4 linked regions of the Coturnix japonica genome follow. The protein of the gene in region 4 purifies or fractionates together with the protein of the main gene of each other region. This does not show direct contact. Links are inferred from orthologs where the notes say so. Each region holds a gene or a part of one and is shown on either strand. Other genes may lie near its edges.

What was found.
Region 1: the proteins of COPB2 (region 4) and ARCN1 fractionate together in Homo sapiens (co-fractionation; 5 studies listed by BioGRID and IntAct, with this or other methods). This does not show direct contact. The link is inferred for Coturnix japonica from reciprocal best matches to the Homo sapiens genes COPB2 and ARCN1.
Region 2: the proteins of COPB2 (region 4) and COPG1 purify together in Homo sapiens (co-immunoprecipitation; 8 studies listed by BioGRID and IntAct, counting the BioPlex papers as one, with this or other methods). This does not show direct contact. The link is inferred for Coturnix japonica from reciprocal best matches to the Homo sapiens genes COPB2 and COPG1.
Region 3: the proteins of COPB2 (region 4) and COPE purify together in Homo sapiens (affinity purification with mass spectrometry; 4 studies listed by BioGRID and IntAct, with this or other methods). This does not show direct contact. The link is inferred for Coturnix japonica from reciprocal best matches to the Homo sapiens genes COPB2 and COPE.

What each region holds. Positions count from the first base shown.
Region 1 is NC_029539.1:4,767,129-4,772,834, forward strand, and holds the start of ARCN1 (coatomer subunit delta), read right to left. Parts: upstream 3,520-5,706; 5' UTR 3,352-3,519; coding exon 3,349-3,351; intron 3,333-3,348; exon of another isoform or gene 3,318-3,332; coding exon of another isoform or gene 3,315-3,317; intron 2,115-3,314; coding exon 1,851-2,114; intron 1,278-1,850; coding exon 1,098-1,277; intron 880-1,097; coding exon 674-879; intron 253-673; coding exon 91-252; intron 1-90. Other genes in the region: IFT46 (intraflagellar transport protein 46 homolog), read left to right, coding at 3,627-3,929, 4,346-4,485, 4,679-4,753, 4,867-4,960, 5,397-5,525. UniProt on the Homo sapiens protein: Component of the coatomer, a cytosolic protein complex that binds to dilysine motifs and reversibly associates with Golgi non-clathrin-coated vesicles, which further mediate biosynthetic protein transport from the ER, via the Golgi up to the trans Golgi network.
Region 2 is NC_029527.1:6,763,028-6,768,682, forward strand, and holds the start of COPG1 (coatomer subunit gamma-1), read left to right. Parts: upstream 1-2,172; 5' UTR 2,173-2,282; coding exon 2,283-2,319; intron 2,320-3,735; coding exon 3,736-3,788; intron 3,789-4,591; coding exon 4,592-4,672; intron 4,673-5,422; coding exon 5,423-5,494; intron 5,495-5,655. UniProt on the Homo sapiens protein: The coatomer is a cytosolic protein complex that binds to dilysine motifs and reversibly associates with Golgi non-clathrin-coated vesicles, which further mediate biosynthetic protein transport from the ER, via the Golgi up to the trans Golgi network.
Region 3 is NC_029543.1:2,773,449-2,779,006, forward strand, and holds the start of COPE (coatomer subunit epsilon), read left to right. Parts: upstream 1-2,141; 5' UTR 2,142-2,181; coding exon 2,182-2,307; intron 2,308-2,410; coding exon 2,411-2,473; intron 2,474-3,287; coding exon 3,288-3,388; intron 3,389-3,553; coding exon 3,554-3,706; intron 3,707-4,145; coding exon 4,146-4,199; intron 4,200-4,491; coding exon 4,492-4,573; intron 4,574-5,303; coding exon 5,304-5,459; intron 5,460-5,558. Other genes in the region: probable ATP-dependent RNA helicase DDX49, read right to left, coding at 168-308, 450-637, 733-854, 1,502-1,587, 1,656-1,779, 1,871-1,985. UniProt on the Homo sapiens protein: The coatomer is a cytosolic protein complex that binds to dilysine motifs and reversibly associates with Golgi non-clathrin-coated vesicles, which further mediate biosynthetic protein transport from the ER, via the Golgi up to the trans Golgi network.
Region 4 is NC_029524.1:4,611,415-4,616,518, forward strand, and holds part of COPB2 (coatomer subunit beta'), read right to left. Parts: intron 4,923-5,104; coding exon 4,723-4,922; intron 4,146-4,722; coding exon 4,035-4,145; intron 3,773-4,034; coding exon 3,684-3,772; intron 3,598-3,683; coding exon 3,491-3,597; intron 3,195-3,490; coding exon 3,051-3,194; intron 2,584-3,050; coding exon 2,453-2,583; intron 2,191-2,452; coding exon 1,983-2,190; intron 1,725-1,982; coding exon 1,614-1,724; intron 913-1,613; coding exon 698-912; intron 436-697; coding exon 343-435; intron 265-342; coding exon 84-264; intron 1-83. UniProt on the Homo sapiens protein: The coatomer is a cytosolic protein complex that binds to dilysine motifs and reversibly associates with Golgi non-clathrin-coated vesicles, which further mediate biosynthetic protein transport from the ER, via the Golgi up to the trans Golgi network.

The sequences.
Region 1 (5,706 bases), on a different chromosome or scaffold from region 4:
GTCCCCAACAAAACGATACATACAGCAGCACACAGATCACAAAGCAGTGAGAAGACAGCTTTCAGAAGAAGCATAACACATAATACCTACCTCTCCATATTAATGGGCGGTGCAAGAACTTTGGCTGCTTCTGTAGAGCGTTTGCCTACAGAAGTCATGATATTTTCTCCCTCCGATTTCAGCTTGTCCACAAAGTTGTCCACCTCCTTCCCTTTGGCGCCCAGTTTCAAAGCTTTACTAGGACCTGATGGTCTAAACAAAACACACAAACACCTCCAAGTCAGTTCAGCACAGCAGTTTCATCCATCCTCAGTCTGATCTTCAAGTGTTGTAACTTCAACAATATTAAGCTCACTTCAGTAGCAGTACACACAGGAGGGGCCTGCCCTTCCCTATCTTCCTGTAGAGACAGAGTCACACACAGAATCCATAATTACAGTACAAAATGCTCCTTGCATGACCAGGGGGAGAGAAAGCTCTTGATTCCCAAAACACAGCACCAGCCTGACAAACACCAACAGACCACACCAGTGCCAGCCATACCTGACCACTCCCTTATGTACCCACACACACACACCAGGTACTTCAGCACCTGTTTATCCATGAAGACTCAGGAGGAAGCCAAACAAAACCCTTCAGACAGCACTAACTGCTGCCAACTGCACACACCTACCTGGACGGTGCTGGTGCCACTTTGGGCTTCTCTGTTTCAATGATGGTCTCTGTGATCATTGCTGCTGTTGTGCCCCCAGACACAGCTGAGCTGCCAAAGCCACCGAAGCCAGGCGCCTTCTTGCCCAGCCTCTCTGCATCCCTCCTGGCCTGCTGCAACTCCTTCGCTTTACGACGCATCTCAGCTTTTGCTTCACGTTCCTGAGTCTGAAATAAAAGATGAAAGCTGCTAAAGCTTTGCAATCTCAGTTTTATTCTGTACAGCTGCTCACGGTGTCTTCTTACAAACACAAAATGCCAAAGAATGGGTATTCAGTGTACAGGAAAGCTAAGTATCTTTAAAAGCCTTGCCAAAGTGGAGTAACACCTTTGCATAAAGAAGCAGTGCTCCCAAAGCACCTTGCACCACAATTAGTTCCACTCACCTCTCGGACAGCTCGGAACACCTTTTCTTCATGCGACTCCATCTCTGTGAAGGTCCGAATTTGTGCCAAGTTTACATTCTCACGGTAGCCCAGGGCAACAATTTCATCAAAGGCAAAAATCAGGTCAAAGCAGTGCTCAGAGATCTCATTCTCCTCTAGAGCTCGGCAATATTCAGGGATCTAGGTAGGGAAAAGCATTGCAAACAGATGTAGATGTGACAATCAGCACCCACTGAGCTGCTGTTTAAGATGAAGTTTTGTGACTATTTTTTTCCTTCAACTAAAACACTTATGGAGTCTTTCAGCACAGTTTTAACTTTGTAATTCACTACAAAACACACCCTGTGATGCTGCTCAGTTTCTTGAAGATCCTTCAGCTGCACAGATATAGATTATGAAGTTAATTAAAAAAACAACTGCAAAAACCCATGACTTAGAAATCCATTTAGAGCACTGCTATGCTTCTCAATCACAATGTGAAGCCAGGACTGAAGGAATGCAGTTGCTACCTAAAGAACATAGAAATATCTGACACTACATTCGCAGCATCTCTTTGGCCTCACCAGTTAAATGGCAAGCATGGATTTCTCACATGTAGTTCAAAATTACCACAGGAGCAGCAAAGGTTACTTCCAGGTCAGGAACAAGCCATAGATAACCAAGTTATGAGGTGGAGGCAGAGTGCTTCAGCACCAGCTTGCCACTGTTTGGGGCTACAGGTGTGAACACAGGACCCGACGTGTAGATCCTTACCACTCTAGAGAAGAGTCGGAGTGTTTCCAGGTCTTCCAGGATGTTGCTGTTTTTCGTGGTGATCAGCACCATGTAGAGCTTCTCCATCGGCTGATACACGTACCTCACGCTCTCTGTTTCCACAAAGGTGTGTTGCTTCCCAGTGTTCATCAGTTTGGGGAAAGCTGCCAGCAGCCCCTCGATGCGGGTTCGGGTCATCTCCACAAACTGCCGGGAGACGATGGCCTTCCCTGCCTTGGTGCAGACAGCTGCCGCCAACAGCACCTATAGGGACACAGACACAGCATTGAAAGCTCTCAGTCCTCCATTCAGGCTAATGCAACACCTTTTCCTATAGGGCTATGACAAAACCCCAGCAATGCTTTAGGCAAAAACTGACTTATCTGTTAGTTCAGCCCCAGCAGAAAAGTCACAATAAAGACCAGAACACTTTGAAATGTGACATCTCTTCCCAGTGCCACACTTAAACTAAGCCGGGTTAATAAAATATTGACCATTATATTAATTACAGCACGTGGATGGTTCTCCTGGGCATTTCACTGATGTTATCACACCAACAATAGAAAGGCATTAAGGTAACTGCCAATTCACCCTTTCTCATTCTCTCCGCCTCGACTTCGTCCTGAAATACTTCTCTCACAGATTAGTTTCTTAATTAACATAGTGAAGATAAAGCAGTTTCTAAAGGTAAGATCCTTTCACTCCCCAGCCAGTTTTAATCACAGTATCCTAACAATGAGAAGCACCAGAAGTTCTTCAGTGTCTGTACATTTCAAGCATGAACCCCAGCACGGCCAGGTGAGCAGCCAGCAACTGCTGTACATTGAGTGGCCATAGGAACCCTGTAGTCAGGGATATCTTGAAGAAAGCAACAGGCATAAGCCTCCATTTCCCAACTGCTCTTTGAAAGGGCTGTGAGTGCAGCACAGCACAGCACAGCACCGAATGGCACAGCTGATCTCAGCAGCACCTCGGCCTCTGTCACCAAGCAGCAGGTCCCGTTCGGGGACGGAAAGCTCACAGCTCCACGTCACCCACAGCCAACGGGACACAAGTGACCTCCACCCGAGCTGGCAGCTGAGGCAGCAAGAGACGAGGCCTGGTTACAGATGTCAGCCTTAACGCTGCAAGCAGCCTCCACGTTACACATCACGCAGCGCACAGCGGGCAGTGCCCCCCAACCGCCCTGCGGCAGCGCCCGGTAAGCGGAGCTGGAGGCTCCCACAGGCCGCGCCACGTCCGGGCCCGGAGCGCAGCGTCACCCGGCGGGGCAGCACGGCCTGGAGCGGCCCGGGTCCATCGCGGAGCTGCGGAGCGATCCGACAGTGCTCGGGGACGAGGCCAGAGAACGGCAGCGGAGCCGCCGAGCGATGAGCGGCCTGGCCAGGCCCCGCGAGCTCTCCGACCCCGGTCCGGCCGGCAGCGGCCCCACGAGCGGCGGCTGAGCTCTGGGCACAGCCTTACCATGGCGGCGGCTCATGGCCGGGCACACCCTTACCATGGCGGCGGCGCTCGGCTCGGCGCTCGCTCCCTCGCGGCTCCGCGTCCCCTCGGGCAGCCCCACAAGATGGCGGCGCCGAGCCACGTCCCCAGCCGGAAGCGGCGCCGCGCACGACGCGAGGGGCGGGGCGGGGCGGGAGGACCCGGAGCGCGGCCCTGGGGGCGGCCCGCGTCAGTACCGGCCCCGGCCGGCAGGGGGCGACACCCACACGCGGCTGCGGGGCCGGGCCGCGGGCGCCGCTCTAGCCGGGAGAGGGAGAGCGAGACGGGGTCGCCATGGCGACGGAAGGCGGCGTCATGGCGGAGCGGCGGCCGGCCGAGGGGAGCGGGGACGGGCCGGGCCGCGCCATCGCCTCCCCGCGACCCTCCGCACAGCCTCGGCCCGTGGAGAACCAGCCGTACGACGAGAGCCTGGAGCTGCCGGACACCGAGGAGGCGGCGGGGAGCGAGAACCGGCCGCAGGGATCCCGCCGGCCGGGGCCGATCTGGTCGGGAGGAGGCGGCACGGGAGCGCGGCCCAGCGGGGCGGGAGAGCGCGGCAACGACCGGGAGGGAGGAGGAGGCAGCAGCAGCAGCAAGGTACGGGGGGAGAGGGGCGGTACGGCACGGGACGGTACGGCATGGTATGGTACGGTATGGTACGGTACGGTACGGTATGGCACGGTATGGTACGGTACGGTACGGTATGGTACGGTATGGTACGGTATGGTGCGGTATGGTACGGTATGGTACGGTATGGTACGGTATGGTGCGGTATGGTACGGTATGGTACGGTATGGCATGGTATGGTACAATACGGTATGATACGGAACGGTACTGCACGGTACGGTACGGTATGGCTCGGTACAGTACGGTACGATACGGTACGGTACGGTACAGTATGGCACGGTACGGTACAGCACGGTATGGTATGATACGGTACGATACAGTACAGTACGGTACGGCACGGCACGGTACGGTACAGTAAGTAAGGCCGCGTCCCTCCTGCCCTGAAGGAAACAGTGGCCAGGCTGGGACCCTCCACCGCCAGCGAGGACGACGATGATGACGATGATGATGATGATGATGACGATGATGAGGATTCCTCCGAGAGCGACTCTGAGGACTCGGAGGAGCGCGGGGCTTCACTGGAGGGGTGAGCAGCGGAGGGAGCCGGGAACCCGTGGCTTAAAAGGGTTGAACAGAGTTGTGCACGGACAGGAAGCCTCTTACAGTGAGAGTGTCCTGCTTCTGCTTTGGGGCACAGCTGGATCCATGTTCGTGCCTTTGTTCTTGTACAAAAACTGATAGGAAGTAATGTCTGCAAGAATTGCTTTTCCTCTCTTCAGTGACTACAACCTCGCAAACTATGACTACCTGCCGGTATCTCCTGAAATTAAAGAACTCTTTGAATACATAAGGAGGTGAGTTGAAGGAGCTTTCGCCTGCCCTGGGTTCTCCTTTGTCTCAAGGTCTTTGTCTCTGGCAGGAAATGTCAATTGCCCACTATGCAATCCTGTTGTTTTTCTCTCTCAAGATACACTCCGAAAACAATACAGATTGAGCACAAACTGCAGCCTTTTATTCCAGACTTCATTCCTGCTGTTGGAGACATTGATGCCTTCCTAAAGGTACAGTGTTTTCAGATATCCCCATACCTGCTGACACACAGGGTGAAACAGAAGGTGGTTTAGATATGAGCCTGGCAGACTGCAGCCACACTGACCTGGTGGTAGCGAGGTGCCCTTGCCCTGTGCTGCAGATACTGCTGTAGACACCTAGGAGATCACAAATAGCAACACTATGACCTGGCTGGTCACTTTGGTAACATCCCACATAGCACATATGTAATTTGGTGCAAGGGCTGCCTGTTTCTTTGTCCAACACCTTATGCATTTCAGGTACCGCTGTGTTAACAACTCGTATTTTCTGCTCTTTCAAAGCATCACGCTTACAAATTTCTTCTGAATTGAGTCTGAATTTCTAACAACAGGGAGAAGCTGTACAGAATAGTTCCAGCATCCCCTGCTACTCCCATAGAGGATTCCTTCTGTGTTTTACCTGCAGGTCCCACGCCCAGATGGCAAGCCTGATAACCTCGGTCTGCTGGTCTTAGATGAGCCATCAACAAAGCAGTCAGATCCCACAGTACTCTCTCTTTGGCTAACGGAGAATTCCAAACAGCACAACATTACAGTGAGTCATGGGGAGAGAGAAAACATTTACTGCACCCAGGCTAGAATGAAGACATTGCACTTTACTCTTTGTGGGACTATAGCAACACAACACAACTGATAACTTGGCTTTAAAAGCAGAAAAATAACCCTTTTTGACCTATAGCTTTAAACTGAAATGTATCTAAGCCCTGCCTCAGGCA
Region 2 (5,655 bases), on a different chromosome or scaffold from region 4:
CACTGCTTCCCTCTGGCTTTTTGCAGCCAGTCCAAGAGCAGCGCAGGGTCCCGCAGAGGAGGATGCTGAAGATGCCGTGCACGTGGCTGCATCATGCTCTTGTCACCCCTCTGCTTATTTTAGGTGAACTGTCCCATCCGAGAGGGCAGCTTTTGCCCCACAGAACTGATGGGGGGCAGCTTGGAAGCAGGCAGTGGTGGCACGAGTCCCAGTCCCACGTCACACACTCCTGACCAAAGGGCAGCTGTGGGGCTGGGAGCGGCTGCGGGAGGAGACGCTGTGTTGTCCCCATGCTGCCATCACCCCATCACCACCCCATCCCTGCGCTGCCACCACCCCGTCCCCTTGTTGTGAATGGGACAGGGGGCACCAGGTGGGGGGGTGATGCTGAGTGCTGTGCTCTTTTCTTGCAGGCTGTGCTGCTGCCCTTCCTGCTGCTGCCATGGAGCATGGTGCAGGGGCTGAACCTCCAGCACGGCCCTGCTCTACCCGGTGCCCCCTGGCATGAAGGTGGCTGGGACAATGAGGGCAGTAGCGGGGTCATGCTGGGGCTCCCTGGGGCAAGACGTGGACACGGCTCTAGGGATGGCTCTCAGTTGGATGGAACCACGCAGCTGCTGCTGGAGGACTCAGTGAGAGAAGCATGGCCCTGGCTGCCAAACCCTGACACCAACAGAGCTGCTGCGGTAAAGAGCAGCAAGGCAAGAAAGGTGTCCCTGTCCCTTGATGTCCCCACACACATCCTGAGGATCCTGCTGGACTTGGCCCGGGAGAAGGAGCTGCAAGCCAGGGCAGCTGCCAACGCTGAGCTGATGGCACGAATTGGGTGAAGGAAGTGACCACAACACAGCCATGGCCAAAGGACTCTGTGGGGCCAAGGGGGGATACGTAGGGCTGCTGGCAGCTGCTCCCTGCACCCAGCTGTGCAGGATTTAGCCCCGGACAAACTGATGCTTGGGGTGTGCTGTATAAACGGTGCACACACAGCAGCTGCTGTTCTAACAACCCAATTTGCACTGTGGGAGCAAAGCACCGGGCCGAGACAGCCCCGCTGACACCGTGCCTGGCACAGCGGGGTCAGTGTGTGCACGTCCTTGTCCTCAGTGCACCTCTGCTGATGTACCCCCATCCACTCCTTCCGACCCCCGTTTTTCCATGTACCCTCTGTCCAGATGCTCTGTACACCATAAAGCCCACCCAGACCTATGGGCATTGTACCTGTGCAGTGTGCTCTGCCACTCAGCGCCGCCCCGGGGTTGCCACGCACCCCAAGATAAGCACCGAGCGGGCAGCGTGCGGCCGCCCCGTGCAAAGGGCAGGGCCGGGGCTGGGGCTGCTGCTGGGGCTGCCGGAGCCGGGCTGGATGCAGCCATGCTCTTCGAGGAGCTGCTGGTGCAGGGTGAGCATGCACAGCGTTGGAGGGGGGAGGTGTGGGGGTGCCCCTCTTTGGGGGTGGTATTTCGGGGTGGGGGATGGAGCAGGGGTTGGGGGATGGAGCAGGGGGTGCAGAGCAGCTGCTGCCGTTCTGGGGTGAGTGTGGGGTGAAGGTGCCAGCCCCGCCATGGTGATGCTGGGGGACAGCAGGGTGACAACCAGATATCGATGGGGGTTTGGTCCCATTCCCATCACTGTTCAGTCCCTGTCGCTGCCGGCTGCCACGTTGTCCCCTGCTGATCCCGGCTGTGACCCCCGCAGCCCCTCTCAGCACTCCCAGGTGCCACCAGCCCCTCCGCACCCCCCGGTCCCGCTGTCTCCCCCCGGTCCTTCAGTCCCGTGGTCCCGGTGTCTCCATCCCGGTGACCCCAGCCCGCTGACACCCCCATCCCCACGCTGCCCCCTCAGACCCCGCTGTACCCCCATCCCGCTGTACCCCCATCCCGCTGTACCCCCATCCCGCTGTACCCCCATCCCTCTGCCCACACCCCTCACTCTTCACCCATCGCCCACCCCGGAGCCCCCCGAGCCCCGCCCCCTTCCTTCCCTCCACCAATCAGACCTCGCCCTTCTCCCCCCCACCTGTCAATCACACCCATATCCATGGACACCGCTCATCGCCCCGCCCCCCTTCCCGGAGCTCCGCCCCCTCCCGCTACCGGCAGTGACGTCACGGAGCGTCAACCCGCGCCTGCGCAGTGCGGCGGCGGCAGTGACAGGCTGGCAGGAAGGGGCGGGGGTCGGCAGCGGGACGGGTTCGGTTCGGCTCAGTTCGGTTCGGCTCAGTTCGGCTCGGTTCGGCTCGGTTCGGCTCGGCTTAACTCACCGAGGGGCCTCTCGCAGCCGCCATGCTGAAGAAATTCGACAAGAAGGACGAGGAGTCGGGTGAGGGGCAGCGGGAGGCCGGGGGTGGGCCTGTGTGAGGTGTGAGGTGCAGACATGGTGCTGTCGTTGATGGGCAGCTGAGGGCTCGTAGGATGCTGCTGGGAAGGCTTTGTGTCAACCATTTGGCTTAAAAGCATTAGTAACTACAACTAAAGTAACAGAGGGGAGGTTTAGAGCAGGTATCGGGGATTGCTTTCAATGAGACACATTGACACAGCTGCCTGGAGAGCTCAGGGTCAGGCTGGATGGGACCCTGGGCAGCCTCAGCTGGTGCCTCACTCAGTAGTTGCCAACCCAACCTGGGTCATGGGGTTGGAACTAAATGATCTCTGATGTCCCTTCCAACCCAAGCCATACCGTGATGTTGGGGCTGTAGATGTGCTGTGCTTCTTTAACCACTTTCTGCGAGCATTTTTCAGATGTTTAGACTGGAAACACTTTGATTTTTTTTTTTTCCCCGTGTTTTCTTCTCTTCCCAGTGTCACCAAAGCATCCGCGCTTTGCTCAGCCCCCTGCTGGATTTGCAAACAGCCTGTGTAAGAGGAGGGCAATGAACCTGAAATGAGTTAGGATGCACATGGCTTTGCCTTGTATTGCAGAGGCTCTGGGCAGCAGCATGCAGTGCTTCTGGGGCAGGGCAGGTTGTGCTGAACCAATCCTAGATCTCAGGCTTGTTAAGTGTTGGAGAAGCACTGGAAAAGGCTGTTTGTCCCAGAGCCAAGGCTGAACGTCGGTACTAATTACAGCCTGCTTATCAATAACCGACAGCTTTTGAGATGCTGTGGCTCAGAGATGCTTAAAAGAAGGCAAGCTAATAGAGAGAATGCAGAATAATGATGCTTTTCTCTCAGATTATTTCATCCTTAATTAGTGAGTTGTTCATTGTTTAATATAATTTATTCTATTAAGAGGAACAATGAATGTTATTCTGTGTCCAGACTCTCTCATTTGCTGTCTTGTTCTCTTAATTAGTGATAGAGCCAAAGAATATTTACTGCTGGATTCCTGATTGGTTTATAATGAAGGGATAAAGCACTCCTGACTCTCCAGCCTGGCAAACACTCTCTTTGTGTCTATGACTCTAAGCTTTTGTTCCTCGAACTGTCTTATGATGCTCTAACTGTCAGCAACATCTCAGCCCTGGGGCTGGAAGCGTTACCTCGGGGCTCCCCACTTTGCAATTGATCAGACTCATGGCAAGTTACTTCTTGGTGGGTGATAAATCAAAGGACGTCCTGCCTGCTCTGTCTTCCCTCACTGCTGGGGAATACTGCTTCAAAAGAGGAGCACTGATTGTGTGGTGTTCACGAAAAAGCTACGCAATAAATGCTGGGCTTACCTTTAAACTGTAGGTGTGTTTTGATAGTTGCTTTCCCATAGCAGAATCCCTGGACTTTCTTTGTCTTTATTTTGCAGGTGGGGGTTCCAACCCATTCCAGCACCTGGAGAAGAGCGCAGTCTTGCAAGAGGTATATCCTTAGAAGCTGTCCTTTGTGCTGCCCCTTCTGCTTGGAGTGTCCCAAACTCCTGAGTAGATCAATGGGGAATTTTAGTGGGGAAGCAGGGCTTTGTTGTGGTCCTACTAGCAACTAAAGTATGGGACAATACTCCCACTAGTTCTTGTTTTATTGCTGGAATGAAGAAGGGAGAGGGCTGAAATGATCTCTGTAACAAAGTAGACTCTAAATGGTAAGCAGTAATATAGAATGTGACTGTCTGGGAAAGCTCACCCTAAAACAGGAAAGTTGGGAAATCAGCTTTGAACACCATAAACTTGTAGATTTCAAAGCCAGAGAGCAGGCTGCGTGTGGTTATTGAGTGGTCTCTGATTTTACTCTGAAATAAAAACCTTTTTGTTTGACATCAGACAAACTTCTCAGTCCCCAGCCCCTGTTATTTTGGTGTTATCTGTTTGTTTGCCATATGGTGGATGGTGTTGGTCCCTGTTAGCCCTGCAGAGCTGGCTGACAACTGTCAGAAGGGTTGTGTTTTAGCTAGCACACGATCCAAACTTGTGTGGGTGAAAGTGTGAGGTGGATTTAACCCTTCAACTTTCGTTGTGCTTGCATTTGCAATCTCAGGATGAGACTATAGAACTGTCTGTTTAAAATGTGGCCTTGTTTAGCTGGAACTGGGGGAAATCTGATCCAAAGTCGTTATGTGGATTTTGCTATACCTCACTGACAATTTGTTGTTTATAATATCAGGCCAGACAGGACAATGTTTATGGGGGGTGTTGATGTCAACATCTTTGTCTGTGATTTGTTTCCAGGCACGTGTGTTTAATGAGACTCCCATAAACCCACGAAAATGTGCTCACATCCTCACCAAGATTCTGTACCTCATAAACCAGGTAAGGGAGAAAAAGTAAGCTGATACGTTCTTTTGATTGTTAGTCTTCTCTAACTAAACTTTATCTTCTGAATAGCTTTGTTGGCTATATCCAATAAAAACATTTTAATTAGAACAGTTTCTGTGCTACTAAGCTTCTACTTGCCTTTTTAGCGTCTAAAAACATTCTGTGGGGTAGAGAGGGTAGGAGCAGCAAATATGGAGAGGTTGGTGTCTGTGATTTCTTATGACTTGGAAGTTGTAACCCTACAGCTCTTTGATGCCAGGAATGGTTGTCAGTCCAGGCCCTTGGGTCTCTGAAGCTGTGCGCAATAAGGACCAGCTTTGTAAAGTTATTTACCTGTCTCGTGGGGTTTCCCTGCTTTGGGATCTCCCTGCATCATTATATGCAACAGCTGTAGCTGGCTCTGACTAGCTGTGGTGCTTTTAGGGAGTATGGCATAAGTTTTTCTTACACAAGCCATGGAGACCCAACCTGCTCTGCACCCATAAAGAAGCTGTCTTGTCACAAGTCATTTATTTGTAAACCTGATAAATCATGCTGTCACCTACACTGACAAGTAAGCAACATTCAGCCATGGCTGGGGGCTTTGTCAGGCAGGATTTTACTCTGAGTATGCTGAAGAAGATCTGCTTCCAACCACGCTATGCCTGTTCTCCTTATGTGTGAGACTGAGCCTTGCACCTGCTGCAGGACCAGATCTGCTTGTAGTAACTGGGGTTTCCTTCCTTCTTTCCAAACTTCTTCTAGGGGGAGCACCTTGGTGTCATGGAAGCTACCGAATCCTTCTTTGCCATGACAAAGCTGTTTCAGTCCAATGATGTAAGTCTGTTAATTGTTTTTTGCTGTATTTATCTAGTGAGACAAGTTGTTAGCAGTGTCTTTTTTAGCCTCAGATGTCATTTTGTGCCTGGAGTTACCGATCTAAGTGGGAAGAGTAGGATGAAAGATTAGAAACAGATCAGCTTTGTTACCTTGCTCCT
Region 3 (5,558 bases), on a different chromosome or scaffold from region 4:
AGTGGCCCTTCAGTCCCAAGTTGCTCAAAAAAGGTGCTCTTGTACCAAATCACAGCACAGATTGAGGAAGCAAACACCAGGGTAGCTTAAAAGCAGCACAGCGCGAATTTGGGAGTCACAAAAGCACCTCTAGAGCAAAAGCCATCACTAGGAAAAATTCCACTTACTTGCAGGTTTTGGTGAAGATAATAATAGACCAGTCTTCGTGCTCATCCTGGAAGGTCTGGATTAGATGGACAAGGTATGCATCCTTGACTGCTTCGGGTACAAGCAAGTAACGCTGGTCCAGTTCATCTACTGTCCGCACCCTGTTGGGAAGGGACAGTAAATCACTAAAATCCACAGCTTTAGCAAGAGAAAGTGGAACATAAGGGATGTTAGAGACAGTAAGGAGATGAGATAATAGAGAAAAAGCAGGATGCTGCGTGTGGCAGAGCAGAGATACATACTCAGATGCAGCCTCCCAGAAGAAAGGTTTGTTCATGGCCAGGCTCTTCAGCTCATTCAGTGTATCTGTCAGCGTGGCACTGAACAACAGCGTCTGCCTGCGTGCGGGAACAGCCTCCAGAATCACCTCCAGGTCTGCAGTGAAGTCAGCACAGCCCTGCTCCAACAGCCGGTCAGCTTCATCCAATATCTAGCCACAAATAAATGAGATCTGCAAGTGTCCTTACAAAACCAAAAGCCTTAAAAAGCAGAGGGAAAAGTATTTGAAAAGAGCGGAAAACCTACCAAGAATTTGAGCTTTTTAAGGCTGAAAGTGTTGGAACTGCGAAGATGATCCGCCAACCTGCCAGGCGTCGCAATGACAACGTGGGGTTTGCGGGAGAGCTCCAGGGCTTGAACCACCATGTCTGCAGCGAGAAACACGCTGCTGTGTTACAGATTGAACCTCGTAAACATGGAATGTGCGTGGCTGGAAAACACCAGCCTTACAGAGGAAGGTCATGGAGACATGAAGAGTCATTCTGCTCCCCCCCCAGCCACAGAATCACAGAATTGTAGGGGTTGGAAGGGACCTCTAGAGATCATCGAGTCCAACCCCCCTGCCAAAGCAGGTTCCCTACACCATATCACACAGGAAGGCATCCAGGCAGGTCTATCTCCAGAGAAGGAGACTCCACCACCTCCCCGTGCAGCCTGTTCCAGTGCTCCGTCACCCTCACTGTAAAGAAGTTCTTCCGCACATTCATGCACAACTTCCTATGCTGTACTTTCATCCCATTAACCCTAGTCCTGTCCCCACACACTACTGAAAAGAGACCAGCCTCACCACTATGGCTCCCACACCTCAGGTATTTATAAACCTGGATCAAGTCCCCTCTCAGCCTTCTTTTCTCAAGGCTAAACAGACCCAGTTCCCTAAGTCTCTCCTCACAGGGGAGATGCTCCTTCACCATCTTTGTATCCCTCTGCTGGACTCTTTCCCAGAGATCCCTTTCTTTTGTTGTACTGAGGAGCCCAGAACCGGACACATCCCACTCTGTGTTGTCTCACTCACCCAGGCCGCCCACCACCACGCAATCCTTCAATCCCAGCGGTTTCCCCAGCACACGGAACTGCTCAGCGATCTGGTAGGCCAGCTCCCTGCGGGGTAGGGCAGCGCTAAGCGGGGATACACCATCAGGGGACCCCCCCTATGGGTTCCTCCGTACCTGGTGGGCGTCAGAACGAGGCAGAAGATGCCGTAGGGATCCTCGGACAACACCTGCAGCACCGGCAGCACGAAGGCCGCTGTCTTCCCGCTACCCGTCTTAGCGCAGCCGAGGCAGTCGCGGCCTACACGGGAGACCCCCCCCAAAGTAAAGAACGTGAGCGATGGCGGATAATAGAGAACTGCAAGGAAGGGAGAACAAGAGACCAGGCTCACCCTGCAGTATGGGCGGGATACAGGCGGCCTGCACGGCCGTCGGGCGGCTCAGCCCCATCTGCCGCGCCTGCTCCACCAGCCACGGGGCCAAACCCAGCTCCCGGAACGCCGCCATCTTGCTCCTTCCTTAACACCACTGACTTCCGGCCTCCTTCGCGTTCTCATTGGCTGCCTCCCGCTTCCGTCGCCGTAGTGACGTAACATGTTTCTCGCGTGGCTATTGGCTGGAGCTGACATCTTCATGGACATGGCGGCTCCCGGCAGCCCTCGGGGTTCAGCTACTTCCGGAGAGACGTGTCCGGAGCGGCAAAATGGCGGCCGGGCCGGGGTCGGGTCCAGCTGGTCAGAGCGGGGAGGGGGACGAGCTGTTCGACGTGAAGAACAGCTTCTACATCGGGGCCTACCAGGCCGCCATCAACGAGGCACAGCGGATCAAGGTGGGGGTATCGAACGGGGTTAAACCCATGTTGGGTTTAGGAGGTTCCTGGGTTTAGTGCCCAGGTTCCTTAATGGAGCTGTTGTTTCTTCTTCTCCTTCCAGCCATCGAACCCCGAGAAGGAAACAGAGAGGGATGTGTTCTTGTTCAGGTCCTACATTGCACAGGTGGGTCGGATTTACAGCAGCACGATGTGACTGTAGGGCTCAGGTAGGGCAGGGTATGAACCTGAGCTCAATGCGACACAACCGAGTAATAAACACAACTGAGTAATAAATACTAGAGAAGCAGGAAACAGGTGCTGGAATTAAGAATAAAGGGAGGTTAAAAGGTGGTAGTTAAAGGTAGTTTGTAGAAAGAAGCAAAGGAAACTTAAAGAGTTTATGGAAACAAGGAAAGGAAACTTAAAGGTGGTTTATAGAAACAAGGAAAGGAAACTTAAAGGTGGTTTGTAGAAATGAATAAAGGGGACTTAAAGGTGGTTTGTAGAAGTAAGAAAAGGAAACTTAAAGGTGGCTTATAGAAAGAAGTAAAGGAAACTTAAAGGTAGTTTATAGAAATAAAGGAAACTTAAAGGTAACAAGTAAAGGAAACAAGGGGCCTGGGAGAGCAGGGAGGATGCAGGTAAGGAGTGAGACCTCATGGACGACATCAGGCAAGGAGGAGAACAGGTAATGTAAATACCAGAAGAGGAGTTGCATCCCCCTGATAAGAACAAGAGGGAGTCTGTGTGCTAAAGAACTATTGAATATAGATCAGAATTCTGAACTATTGACTATGTATTAGAATTCTGAGAAATCATTGACTATGTATTAGATGTACCTATATCTGTGTCATGATTTTACAAGTCGGGGTGCAAGTTTGGTGGAGCTATCCCCCTTGCACCCAGTGCTGGAATAAACGTCCCTGCTTTATAACCCATCTCTGGATTATAGAGTTTGATTCTGCAAGTCACTAGGTTTTCTGCTTTACCTTTAACAGAGAAAGTATGGGGTTGTGCTGGATGAAATTAAAGCCAATGCCAGTCCTGAGCTCCAGGCTGTGCGGATGTTTGCAGAATATCTTTCAAATGAGAGTCAAAGGTAAGTCTGAAAATGAGTTTGTTTCACAAAGAACGAGTTTCTAAGTGAAGAGTTCATAGAAATATGGTTTTTATAATGTCTGGCTTTGGTTTTGCCACAAAAAAGTAGGTTTTCTGATAGCGAGGCATTTTAAACACTTCTATTCCCTCACCCACACTGTTGCAGGGATGCAATTGTTGCTGATTTGGACAAAAAAATGGCAAAAAGTGTCGATGTGACCAATACCACTTTCTTGCTGATGGCTGCTTCAATCTATTTCCATGACAAAAATCCTGATGCAGCTCTACGTACTCTACATCAAGGGGAAAGTTTGGAATGGTAAGTATAACTCGATCTGGCCTCTCTGCGGTGTGTGTTAGCAAAGTCTCGCTCATGTAGGGAGAGGTGTAATAGAAATGCCCAGGATCTGGCTTGTCTCTGAAAAGCCTTGAAACCATTGAGAAACTCTTGAGAGGTTTCCCTTTCAAGTAGTGATGGATGTGGTGCTCAGTCTGCAGTATAAAATCTATTGCTCCCTTGTGAAACTTAAGAATCTGATTTATTGATCTGTGTGGATTCAGAATTGCTGAAGTGAGTACTATGGCTGTACACCAGGAGGGCAGCTGGGAGCTTCCCTGCTTTGAGTCCTGCTGTGAGCTCTGCTGGCTTTGTTGGCTGCCTGTATAGATAGCCCTGGCATGAGTAGTGTATCTGTGCTAAGCACAAGGAGTGATAAAACTCGTCATTATTACAATTGATTTGCTTTTATTCATTGCAGCACGGCGATGATGATCCAGATTCTTCTGAAGCTTGACAGGCTTGATCTGGCTCGGTGAGTAAGCTTGTCTGTGTCACTTTATTTCTGAATAGTGAGCATAAAGGGGTTTGAATCTCTAGGCCTGGATTTCTTCCTTTCCTTACAGAAGTAAAACAAGGAGCTCTTCCACAGCTTGTCTCAGTGAAACATTAGGAGGTAATTATGCCTCCTTACTAGTTTGCTATGGTTGTTTTTCTGTTGAGGTGAAAGAGCTTGAGAAAGGAAACTTCAACCTTCTGTCTGCATCTTAGAGGACTAAGACAGGCCTTGTTTTCCTTTTACACAACTCCCACTTTTGCATCCACAGCAAGGAACTGAAGAAGATGCAGGAGCAAGATGAAGATGCGACCCTCACTCAGCTGGCTACTGCCTGGGTGAACCTGGCTGTAGTGAGTATCCCTGGCCTACGATATCTGAGAAACAGCATTCAGACAAGACTCTGTGCTTAGTTTGTGATGGCCTTTTACCAAGTTACCACCATCTCATTAAACTTGTTCTTTTGGTGCCTGCAACTGGTTGGCAAGAAATTGTATTGTAATGAAGAGTTTCAGATCAGCCAAAAACACGTGTTGTCTGTTAAGTCCAGATGTCAGGTGTTTGAAACCAGTCTCCTAAGATTCAGTAAACTCCAAGGTATGCGTGCAGTAACCTGTTACAACAGTAACAGTAACCTGGGGCTGAGTTTTCCTTAAGATCTTATTTTCCTCTAGGGAAACATTCATCCTCTAATCAGTGCAAGCTGCTGCATCTGAAACCTTTCTAAAGCAGGAATGTTTTGAAAAGCCAGGTGTCTGTACCTGGGTTTAATTGTAAGATCTCATTTCATAGTCTTTTATTACGTTGTAATGTTCTTCCAAACATTAAGTCGGTGTTCTGAAGTGGTTCTTTTGAAATGTTTCTTGATCTTTTGATCATTTAAGTGCTTCTTAATATTTAATATTTTTGCATTCCTTTCATCTGTAGTCTTACAGTGATCTCTCAGAGGAGACTCTGTGAATGACAATAGCTCATTTTATAACCCTTCAAATTAACTTCTTGGCCCCTTTCTTTAGCCACAAAAACAGAATACAGCCTTCTTAGCAATACACAGTGAAACTGCATGCTTGTGTCCTTTTGCAGGGTGGTGAGAAGTTACAGGACGCCTATTACATCTTCCAAGAGATGGCAGACAAATGCTCCTCCACCCTCCTCCTGCTTAATGGGCAGGCAGCCTGCTATATGGCTCAGGGCAAGTGGGATGATGCAGAGGGGGTACTTCAAGAGGCACTGGACAAGGTACTTAATGGTTTTGCCTGGCAAATTGGCTTGAATCTAACTATCTCTTACGCATAGAGGCTATAACAGCAAGGAATTTCATTATGCTTTATGAAAATG
Region 4 (5,104 bases):
CATGTTGATTGACTGTTTATGTCACTTCATCGACTTGCTTACAGCTCAACTTGCACAACTTGGAACTCCCACTTCCTACTCACAGTGACAAGGGGGTATTCCCTGGCTGCCCGCAGGTCAGCAAGACTTTGTTTAACGTATTCTTCAGCAACAAAAGCTTCCTTTAACCCAGGGAAAAGATTCTCATATTCTGTAGGATCAGCGAGGGATTCAGCAGCTTTCTGGTTCACTTTAGAGAGACTCTCCCGCCACAGTTTAACAACCCTGGAGATAAAAATCAGATTCATTGTATGCAGGTAGTTTTGACAATACTACTAGGATCTGCATATACATTGATGTTACCTTGAAACTTGGCTTGGCAAATAGGTCCGTGCAAGAAATGCAGCTTCTGGGAGACGTCCAGTTTTAATCAGGAGTTCCAAACATGAGTCAAGCCTGACAGATTTTAAAATAGAATTTTTATCAGTAATTTTTCAAGCCAGACTTTAGCATTATAGCTGTTTAGTCTATGATGTCAGTAAATTAAAAGTGCCCGTTTTAAAGAGTAGGCATCATAAAGCAGTTTTTTCTGAAAGGGTACATGCTACTACTGTCTTTCTTCTTGAAATTAAGTTACCTGCAGTTCACTGTTTGGAAATGTGACATTCTTTGTGTTTAGAAAGCCCAATGAGAACCATCTGAATTTCTCACTACTTACTTTCCCTGCAGGAAGTAACTCATAAATGCGACGTTGTTCTTGCCATCTTTCTCTGCTCCTTCAGCTAATTTATTCACCATGTTGGCGTTTCCTGAGGCTGTAGCCAGTAGCAGCAGCCCTCCATAGTCTTGTGCATGGTGCAGGCATTCCTGGGCTAGGCCAAACTGGCATTTACTAATGGCAAGTTCAGCAAGTTGCTTCCATTTCTGTTCTGACTAAAAGCACAAGGAGAGGGAGGAAAAAGAAAAAAAACCAAAGCTATATTTTTGAATACCATTAAAGATTTTTAAAGCATTCAATATGAATTCTAAGTTCACCTGCTAAGTTACCGTATCCCATCAGCATGCTTGTCTTCCCATTAAGATACGATAACGATTGCAGTTTGTTCTGTGCATACCACTGTCACACTGTCATTACCCAGCAACACCTGCCTACTTTCCCCTCTCCCTGTTTAATGACAACACATTAACTTACTCCCTACTGCTCCATTATTTTGCAAAATGAACAGTGAGACCAATTCTCTGAATAATAGCTATGGGCCAAATCACTGCCTGCCAGTCTTCCTAGAACATCAGAAATGATGCAAGTTTTTCAAGGCTGGAATAAAGGCCCAGAGGCTTCAGTTCTGCCAGTTCTCCTCTCTGTTCAACACTGAAGATTAAGGCTTTGTTCCTGGTTGGAATGTATTACTCTCCAGGAGGAGTTCCTATATCTTTCTGAGCAGACAACATGCTTCTGTTCTCATCCCACAGCAAAGATTCCTTTGAACGACAGGCAGAGAAACTTCAGTAAGGAAGTTGGAGGCATATTTACAGTGTTCACAGAGCTGTGCTGCACTGTCACACTGCCTCGTCTTATGAGGCCTCTACGATTTATACTCAGAATTATCATGAATCACCAGAAGTTGTATGTTTACCTCTGCTTCTACTGCAAGCTGATAAGCAATTTTTAGTTCTCCCAGCTGAAGAGCAAGTTCAAAACGATGCTCTGGATCTGTCGATACTGCAAGAGCTTGCTGTTTGAAGCCCTGAAATAAATGAATAATCAAAAGTAAAGCTCTGATCGGTCACACCAAACAGCATCCCAGATGTTTTAACAAAACCCTCTAAAGAAAAGATTACAGCATTCCAAATAAATACAGATGATTAACATGAATCTATATATACATTAAGTTAGTGGCTTTTTTAGTTGCTTAGTTTTTTTGTTTTTTTTTTTTTACTTAGCAAATTCAATTAGAAATAATCAGCTGGTGACTTTTTGGATGTTTAAGAAAGGTTTCTCTTGCCTGTTTTTCAAGAAAATGCGCAACTCTGGTTCTCTGTTCTTTTGGAATCGTGGGGAGAACTTTGTCAGCCATACCGAAGTCTCTTCTCATCACAGCAGTTTGATATTCAAGCACTGAGACCAGCAAAGAGTAGCTAACAATGTTTAGCTCTTTATCACCCAAATAAAGTCGGTTGTCCTTAGGAATATACCCCAAAAGATACATCGTCCTAAAACAAGACAAAGACTATTCAGCTTGGATATGTCGACTGTGAGGTGCTACATAAAAAAATCCAATGATAGCAGGAATATTTGCATCAACTTTTACTCTGTACCCATGTAACGTTATTTATTCTATGCAAGATTACATTAATTGCCTCAGAACATGAGCATTATAATCCAAAAGTAATTCATCAGGGCAAGCGGGAGATTTACTTTGTCCTAACTGAAAAAACAGTCAAGACTTCCTTACAATCTAATGCAGCAACGTACCTGTCTAAATGGGCAATCGTGACAATTTCTCCTCCAACGTAGTAGTTGAGTCTGTTCACAGAGCTTGTGTAAATAAAGCAGTCGCCAACCCACAAACCTGTTTTCACAATCTCCTGAATCTCACCAAGAACCTGCAAATTAAATTTAACCAAAAAGCTACTTTTAGATAGCAGTGAGACTACTGTGTTTTCAAATTAAATGCAACAGGCACAAGGGTGAGTTGCAAAAGAAGTTCCAGGTACAAACCAGAAGTTGTGCAAACTATGCCTCCAGTTCTACAAAAAGATGTTACAAATCTCTCTCAATAATTAACTAAGTTACAAATCCAGGAAGGAAGTACCAAATGTGTTAAATAAGATAATTAGAAGTTTCCTCATGAGATTTCTGCTGTTTTTCACGTGGTCTCAAACTTCTGTCAGATTTCAACATACAAAAAGTGCAGAAAGCATCCAGTTTCTGTGAACATGCTACCCAAATGCAAGATGGCTGGAAAATACAATTTAGTTGTGTTATGTTAAGGACTAATTTTGCTATTCTCTGGCAAGACTCGCTTCAGTGACCTCTGATCCTTGTCACATCCGTTTTTAAATACAGGTACCTCAAATGCATCTTCAATTCCATCTTCAGTGACTCCTTCATGCGTTTCCTGGGCAGATGCAACTTTTTCTGATAGATATTTCAGGATGAAGAATGACTCTTCTGTAGCAATGCAGACAAGCTCACCCGAGTCAGACCAGAAAATCTGTGTCATCAGAATCAATAATGGCAGTGGTTTAGAGAGCTCAGGTTAAGAGAGAAAGTATGTTTTAGTTTAATTTGTACAAACTCTCATAGCAGCCTTAGGAGCCAAGAAGCCAATGCATGCATAAGATTTTCTTCCTTTTCACTACCAGGCAGAAGTAAACTTAAGATATTGTTATTTTATGATTGGCAGCTTGGTTTCGTTATAGAAAAAATATTCAACAGTCTAGCATCTACAGTCTAGAGTAAACGCAGATGCACATAGATTCATATCTTCAGATTCCTTTCAAAACTTACATGTTTGGGCTGAATTTCAATTCTGCGGATCAGTTCCGTGTTTTCCCAATCATAGAATGCCAAACCATTTACAGATCTCACTCCCAACAGGAAGCCACCGTAGATGCCTGTAAGAAAATGAAAGTTGAAGAATTCTGCATCGTGCAGACTGTGCACATGCATCAATATGTGTATGCTAAAAGTAAATACTCACCTTCCGCTCCAAAATCAGGTTTGAACGATTTCTTCTCCTTGAAGTTTTTAAATATCTTCACAACGCTGTTGCTCTCTCTGATTGCGTACCTGGAGATTGCATTATAGAAATATTACTTGCCTGTTAAAGTAGCAAACTACTAAAATAACAAACTGCTACAAGAAAATCCTTGCATTTGTCTTCAAAAATCAGCAGAGCACAGCAAATAGAAAACCTTAAAACATCACCTTCTCTAAGTTCATTATTCAAACCTTTTTTCTTGTTTTTTGTCTTCAGCCCAACTCCATGTTTGTACAGACTGAAATGTAGCAGCAAAGTTAGTTAATACAAAGGAAAATCTGCAACACTTACTCTGACGAATCATGTGCCCACACGAACTCCTGTGCAGAACCAAAACTCTTGTTCCTCAAAGCCATAGCTGTGTAAATGATATATTCGCCATCACCACACACTACAACAAACCTAGAGCAAGAGAAAGATGCAGTCTGTCAGACATCCACGTTCAGTGCACTAGAACAAACACACAAATCATATGAAGATCATCACAAGCCTGTGTCATGGTATAATTACCACAAACATAAACAGAATTAAATAGAACAACTTTGTGTATTCCAGAACCCATCACATAATGGATTGTTTCTGCTTCGCTTTCCTAGCTACTTGCTATCCCTTCTTGCTTCTGCTCTCCGCTCTGCTTCATTTCTACTGTGTATCCCTTTACCTTTTCTTCCAAATTAGCTCATCTAATTAAAAAAAAACCAAACACCTGAGATGTAATAGAAGAACTTGGTTTGCTACTACTACATTTTACATTTTGTTTGCATGATTCTTTCCCTGTTTACAATGTGCAACTTGTCAGTTTAAAATGTGAGCTATTATGCAGATGGCTGAAGCCCTTCTACTATGATTTTCCCCTGCTTAGCTGTGAGACACCTGTTAGCCACAGGCTCTCACTACCAGGACACATGCAATACATTCTCCAGTATAAAGAAAACCAACCAAACAAAACGAAACTGATTTTTTTTCTACAATCAATTACCGTCCATTAGGGTTGTGCTGAATTGTTTGAGGATATATTTCACAGCTCCCCATATCCTTCACAGCCAGTGGCAATCTTTCTCCATCTTTAATTTCAGCATCTCCCATAGCTTTCAAGTTGGCCTGCTGGACTTCTGAATGTTTGGCCCAGATAATTTTTCCATTTGCATCCATGGACATGGCTGGTTCTTCACGGCCAAGCTAGGAAGCATAGCATAAGAACTTAGCAGACAGAGAAAACACAGTTTTGATTTTCTTTTCAGCTCCACGCATCCAGTGAAATATCCCGGCTTTGTCTAAAAATGACAATTCAAATTCTAAATGATCAGTATTTTATATATTACTATCAGATAATTAGTTGCTCTTTACACAGGACAGCAATG